Linked DNA regions of Cricetulus griseus. The protein of the gene in region 1 purifies or fractionates together with the protein of each later gene. This does not show direct contact. Links are inferred from orthologs where the notes say so. Each region holds a gene or a part of one and is shown on either strand. Other genes may lie near its edges.

The links. The genes of interacting proteins can lie anywhere in the genome.
Region 2: the proteins of Bcar1 (region 1) and breast cancer anti-estrogen resistance protein 3 homolog purify together in Homo sapiens (co-immunoprecipitation; 4 studies listed by BioGRID and IntAct, counting the BioPlex papers as one, with this or other methods). This does not show direct contact. The link is inferred for Cricetulus griseus from reciprocal best matches to the Homo sapiens genes BCAR1 and BCAR3.

What each region holds. Positions count from the first base shown.
Region 1 is NC_048596.1:188,120,776-188,123,977, forward strand, and holds the end of Bcar1 (breast cancer anti-estrogen resistance protein 1), read right to left. Parts: intron 2,777-3,202; coding exon 2,687-2,776; intron 1,433-2,686; coding exon 920-1,432; 3' UTR 501-919; downstream 1-500. UniProt on the Homo sapiens protein: Docking protein which plays a central coordinating role for tyrosine kinase-based signaling related to cell adhesion. Implicated in induction of cell migration and cell branching. Involved in the BCAR3-mediated inhibition of TGFB signaling.
Region 2 is NW_023276806.1:36,085,011-36,089,007, forward strand, and holds the start of breast cancer anti-estrogen resistance protein 3 homolog, read right to left. Parts: upstream 2,801-3,997; 5' UTR 2,663-2,800; intron 1-2,662. UniProt on the Homo sapiens protein: Acts as an adapter protein downstream of several growth factor receptors to promote cell proliferation, migration, and redistribution of actin fibers.

The DNA of each region.
Region 1 (3,202 bases):
GGAGGCTAGGTACCCTCAGCCGGATTTCTTAGCGACAGATCACCTAGTCCTAGTTCCTTCTTTATATGGGCAGGGAAACTGAGGCCCACATTCACATGCACAATGGTCAAAGACGAGACCGCCAGTAGAGTGCCAAACACACACTAAACTCCCACAAGCAGCAACCTGGGTCAAGCAAGCCTGTTCTTGGTCTCCGTCTTTCTAGCTTGGAGGCCAAGTCCCTTTTAATTCAAGGAAGACACTTTGGGTGTCCCAGACTGGAGTTCTGTGAGGCTGTTTTGTGCAGTGCCTCTGTGCACTTGGCACAAAGGATACTGCCACATTATCTCCCCACCAGGCCAGCCCAGCCCTCCTGCCTTTCCCCAGGTCCCTGGGCATTGATTTTCTACTGAAGGGTCCACTCTTCTTTTACCCTCCCAGAATCTTCACCATGTCTAGTCATTTTGGTGGGTCAAGGATACATCTACCTCCCCACATAGAGGATGTCTCAAACATCTTTATAGGCTGCTTCTCATTTTTAAAATTTTATTAAATGTAGACTATTAGTCAAATGATTGGAAAAAATCAATAGTGAAAAATAGTTCTTTAGGGTTTTTTTCTTGGTGCAGAGGTGCACACCACACTGTGCTTGCCTGTCACGGGGAGCTCTGCGGGTGGGGCCCATGTGCCTCCACCCTGGCCCCAGCCTGGTGATTAGCAGTCCACAGTGTACTCTTGTCCAGCTCCTCTGAGGAGGCAACCCACACCTGCCTTGCTATAAATATGTACAAATCCCTGGACAGTTGAGGGCACCAGGCCCAAGGCAGAGCTGGGGTTACCTGTCCCCAAACCTGCAGGATATTCACTTTCAAGACAGATGCTTGGGTAGCTCGGACCATCACTGCCCACTCCCCAGCCTCTATACCCTAGTCCTCTGTTCTCAGGCAGCAGCCAGCTGGCCCAGGACCCGGCGGAACTGCTGAGTGCTGTGACCCAGCTCCTTGACCCTGTCTACCATGTCCTGGGCAGCAGAGGGTGATGGGTACTGCAAGGCAGCAGCCTTGGTGGTGGCCACAATGCCTCGCAGGAGGTCACACAGCAGGTTGCTATAGTGGGTCACCTGGCTGCGCACATCAGCTGCCTTTGCCTGCCGTGACAGTGTGTCCCCAATGAACACCAGCTTATGTGCACTGAGGATGACAAACTTGCTGTGTGCCACAAAGATCTTGGGTGGCTGGTTGGTGGCCACTGCAGTGAAGAAGGCATCTACTGCATCTGTCAGTGTGGTCAGGTTGGCCTCGCACTGCTCCAAGTAGAAGAGCAGCAGCTGTCGGTCTGAGGGCCCCAGGCCCCCTGTCCGCCCTGGCACCAGGGGCTGGGCTGGTGTCCAGTTGGCCAGGTCATGGTCTATAGGACGAGATACCTCCTGCTCCAGTCGCTCAAACTGTTTCAGCTGTGGAAAGCATGACAAGGTTAGGCTCTCAGCTGACAGACATGTGCAAACATCTGTACCATCAGAGCATGCTCACTAAAGGAAAGCAAACCACCAGTGTCAGTGACAGCATTACTGGCTAAGGACAAGCTGGAGACTGCACAGGAAAGATAGCCTGCACACCAACTTCTTCAAACAATGGCACTCCACAGCTACACGTGCATTTCTATTTTAACTGCTATTACTGGGAAGGGATAGTTTGCCACATATCCTGGCTGGCCTCAAATTTATGATCCTTTTGCCTCTGCCTCCTGAGTGCTGGAATTACAGGAGTATGCCCGGCTTATTTTTAATTGTTAACTTGTGTTTCCTTTCACTTTTTATGTGCCACACACTTCCCAAGCAGTTCACACACTACTCATTTACTGCCAACATCATACCTGTAAGGCAGTTACCAGCTGTAAGCCCCACCTGGTGTCAGGGTAACCAGTGAATAACCCATCTCAGGGTGGGATAAGCTGTCCTTTGCCTTCCTTCTCAATACCCAGAGAAAGGACAGCGAGAGTTTTCATATTTATTTAGTGCTGTTATCTTCGCAATCAAAATCAAATATCTTTAGTATCCTTCGAAAATACTTTCTTACCCTGGGAAATGATTTAAAATATGAAGAAAATTGTGGCTGAACACAGCACTATTATTTATATGGAAAACTAGATACAATGTAAACATTCAACAATAGACATTATGTGGCCTATAAAAAGGAGTTATGAACAGAGTTTTAAGTCTGAGGAATGCTGCAGACAGAGGCAGAGTGTGACTGCTCACCAGTGTCATCTCGGGCAGGCACAGGGAGGCACAGCTTGTGGAGAGGAGCTGACCAGTGGGGAGTGGCTTGTCTCAGCTTCTGTACAGCCTCTGGCTGCCTGTGCTTTCTAATCCTACACTGCCTCTGTGCTCTCTACAACGGACTCATTACTCTGACAGTAACTTCGTTTGTGTTTTATTGCTATGCCTGTGATGTCTCAAGCATGCTAGTCAATTGCTGCAGTCACAGCTACTCAGGAGGCTACAGTGGGAGGGTTAGCTGAGCTCAGGCAGAGTTCAAGATGAGGCTGGGCAACAGAGTGAGAATGCCATCTCAAATTAATTAGCCAAATTAATTAGTCAGAAGGCAGTGATGGCTACGATGCCGGATAGTGACTGGCTGGGTGGAGGGCAAACAGGGCTCTCTATTCCTGTCGGGTCTCACCGTAAGGTGACTACTGGGAGCCTCACCTGCTGCAGCTCCAGTTGGCCTTTTCCCTGCCGCATTATGTTCCCCTTTTCTAGTAGCTCCTTCTGTGTCTTCTCAAACTCCTCCTTCCCCTGCAGGGAAGAGACAAAACACTGACTGAGAAGTCTCTTCTGGGACAGAGGCACCAGCAAGTACCATGGGTGCAAGGGCCAGGGAACCACCAGGTGGCAGTGTAGGCACACCAGGCCCAGAAGAGGCAGCTTGTAAAGGAAGCAGCCCCTACAGGAAGGGTCTGGTGCAGGAAGGTAGCTTTGTAGAGGGTACAGTCATTCTACAATCCTTCCCTTAGTCTACAAATGGAATGGCATGCAGGTGTCTTCTCAGAGGTCATTCTCATCCTACCTCCCTATTCCCCTTGTCCTATGTCATCTAGACTCTACCATCTGTCTCCTCAGAATGTTTCTACATAGAATGGAGCCACATCTATGGCCACTAGGAAAGCCCATTCCCCAAGGTGTTCTGGAGCCATCCTGATTGGTCCCTCAAGGCCCAAAAAC
Region 2 (3,997 bases), on another chromosome or scaffold:
GGGAGGGGCCATAATAAGGGTATGCTCTCAAGATGCCTGTAATGTCGGGTGTCCGCCAAAGCACATAAACAAGAAAATAAACCAGGCAATACCCAAGCTGTAAGTACTCCAAAGAATTCAAAACAAAGCACAACAGCTAAGAGATGCTGGCTGTAGAAAAAGATAACTTTATGATATGATGGTCTGGCAGGCCCTTTCTCAAGAGTTAACAATGACATGAGACCTGAGAAAAGAGATAAGGGACCAGGCAAGAAAAGATCTGAAGGCAGTGCCAGGCAGGGGAAGGATTCCAGTGCAACAAATGCAAAAGCCTAGGAATAACTAGTTAGAACAGATCCACAGAGGATCTGAACTCTTGAGTCCCACATATTCTTCCTCACTGGCAGATGTTTCTGTGTTGATGCCAGTAGTAATTCAACAATCTTATGTACCATTTGGTCTCTGAAAATCAAAATGGCATGCCTCAGAACCTGTGTTTCAGAGCCAGTATTTACTACTTCAAACCTCTGCCCTGCCTCTGCCTTGGTAGCTATGAGGCTTGGGACAAGTTACACCACTCTCTAACAGTCAGTCACCATTTCTTAAATGTGCTAACAATCCTGTCTTCAGGGACTGCTGGGAAAATTAAATGTGATCATGTATAATGAAGTCTCTGGTGCACAGCAAGCAAGAATACATCTCCTCCGATCAGGGCAGGGCCGGTGTCTGCATAGCTACTTAGTCACTGTGTCCCCGCTGGAGTTCACACGAGAAAACACTGCAGCTGGGGAGGGTGAGGAGCGAGATGTTTCAACCTACAACAGATGTAAACACACCAGGCCAAGAGGACACAGACACAAAAGGGCATAGACACCAAGTGAACCATATTCGAGCTTTCAAACAAACACCAGCAAAGACTTTTGACCCAACCGCCTTGACTGACAGACCCTGAAATACACACAAGGTCAGATGCTACATCCTGATAGGGGAAGCAGGAGAGTAGGAATGCTGAGGACAGGATGGCCTCACAACAAACTCTAAAGCAGCCTTGCTGCCTGCCTTCCTGACTCTAGTCAGCCACCAAGCTTAGAAAAGTTAACAAGCTTGGTCCAGCTCACTTACTCTACAAAGATGGCTAAAACAAAACAGCAAAACCTGGTGATCTTGCAAGCTGAAGCAAAGATAAACAGCACACTTGCTTAGACTCTTCTCCAGTTCTGAAACAGGATATTTTCAAATTGAACTCACACATGGCAATCTGATGGAAGGGCCTCAAGAACTTTTATATTTCAAACTGGAAATGTCACTGCCTCGGCTGCCCTTACCATGACAGTGGCCCCTATCTTCTCTGCAAAGTGGGACAGCAAAGGCAGATGAGACTACCCCACAGATAAAATTAGCTTCTCCACTTAGAACTTTTGCTTGGCTTTTCTCAAGGAGGGTATCCTTTTATTTTTGAAGTAAACTTATGAAGTCTAGCCAAATGATTGAAGTATGAATAATTCTTCCATGGATTGTATTTCAAGCAATACAGTGAAGGAGTTACAGGGCAAGGTTCTTAAGATTAGCACCCATCTGACAAAGCAGTTCTTTCTTTATCAATAGGAACTGATGTCTCGGTTACTCATCTTGGGAATGTCAGGCTTTTTTTAACAACACTTGTGAGGGAGTCGGTGTTGGGCGCTGAGGGAGCTTTTGGCACGGTAAACTGTTTTCTTTATACTCAGGAGGCTTCCTGACACAGTCGGGTGGGCAAATGGGATGAGCCAGTGGGCTTCCCCGTGATTTAGAGGCCCCTTCCCACTCGGCCTTGCAGAGCCTCCTTCAGGCTCTCATCTCCACCAGGGGGAAACACAGCATGAGATAAATCAGCTTCAAACTGACCTTCTCTGGGCCAATGTACTTGCCATGGAGAGGTCGGTAGAACCTTGGGAGATAAGAGTCAAGGTTTAAGAGAGTTTCCGAACTCCGGGGCTCTACTTTTCCTGCCTAACTGCTGTAGGCAAAACCAGACACGGGTTACTCCTTCTCACTTGCCCTCAAGCGACTGTTACACCTCAGTCCTGCGATGCGCTGTCCCACAGCACCCGCTGCCTTTGCCAGCTGCACTCAGTGAGTTTCTACACCTGATCAAACTTTTTAAGTGGCAGTAGACTAGGCGGGTAAAGGAAGATGGGCTGCGAGCCGTCCCTCCCTCCTTTTGCCCTCCCCTCCCCGACTCAAGGGGAGCCACACAACCAACTATTCATTCTTTCTCAACAAAGGGAAGGCGAGGGGAGGGAGATGTTGTCAACGGTTACTGGGCAGACTCCTTCACTTTCTTTGCAAACTTCCCAAGAGATTAGTGGAGAAAGCCTCCGGCTTCCAGCAGAGTCCTCTGTGCCACCCCATCTCCCCAATATGGACCCGCCTCGGGCAGAACGAGACAGGACTGGGAAGGGGTCCGGAGGGGGGGGGGGGTTCTGGAGGCGAGCGCGCCCGGGACGGTATCGTCCCGGAGCCGAAGAGTGGAGATGCTGGAAGCACATCAGGGCGCTCCACTCCCGGGAGCTTCGGAATCCGACGACCCCGGAGGGCACGAGTCTGGCCACCTCCACCCCCCACTCCAAGTCTGTGGGGCTTCAGGGGGAGAACACGCGGGCTGCGCCCTGCCCCGAGCCTAACTTTGCTCTTAAGAACTTACCAGTGCGGTCTCGGGACGGCCAAGGGAGCCCGGGAGCCCGGGAGCCTGAGCAGGACCGCACCGGGCACACGCACCTCCCCGCGCGGCGCTCGGGTCCGGGTTGCGCTCAGCGCCGCTCTGCCCGCACCGCACCGCAGCAGCTCCGGGAGCGTGGGCGGCTCATGGTTCGCGGGCGTCCGCCGAGAGACCGGCGCGGCTGGTCGGTGCGCACGGCGTTCCGCTCCGGCTCCCGCCCGGCCCGGCGGCGGCAAGCAAGGCTCTGAGCTCGCGGCGCGCTCTCTGGCCCTCGACTGGTGATTTGCGGCTTGGCGGCCCCACCCCGCCCAGCGGATTCGTCGGGCTGGGCCGAACCCCCGCGACATTTACATTCGGTGAGCTGTCTGGCCCTCCTCGGCCCGGATTCGAGAGTTTTGACTCTCCGGAGAAGCAAATGTAGGTTGAACTCTTCCTTACGGAACCACACTCAACCAGCCAGCCTCACCTAATCCCCTCCTCCCCACTTCCCGGCGTTATTTAATTACCCAACAGATCTTCCGACACCTGGCTGGCTTTCAATTTAAAGGAATTTGATGGGACAAAGACGAGGTAACCACAGTGAACAAGCCAGGAAATAGGCAAATCAATCACTCTCACACGCGAACTTGGAAAGCCAAGTGGGTGGAGGTGCACATACTAGCAGTTATCAAACCTATTTATAAAGTCACACAAACACACACAGACAGACTAATGGACCAATGGACCAGAATCCAGGAACACATCTGCACTATCTGGTGGCTTGATTTATGTCAAAGTTATTGCCGAGGCTCACTGGGAGACAGTACAGTCCAATAAATGATGCTAGGTCATGGAGTCAGGGTACCTACCCCATACCACACCCCAAATAACATCCCGGTAGATGTTTTGATCCCCAAATCAAATCCTGATAGATTTTACAGTTAAATATAAAAGGTAAAACGGTGTAAAGAAATTATCAGAAAATACCTTGCTGTAAAGATTCCTTAAATACATGAACTATTAACTATAAAGGGGAACTGCTCATTGACATAATGGACATTAAGAGCTCCCATACCATGAATGAAAATGCAAATCACAGACAGAACATAAGCAATGCATACATCCAATAAAGGAAATGTATATAGAATATATAAAGAACACCTTTAGATCACATGAATAAGCCAGAAAGTTGGACTGAAAACAGGCAGGGTAATTTTATTTAGGCAGTGGCCTAGTTCACTTCTCTGTTGCTGTGATGAATGCTATGGCCAAGGGCAACTTGGGAGAGAAAACTGTTCATTTGGCTTACAAGCTGCAGTCCATCATCAAGAGAAGCCAAGG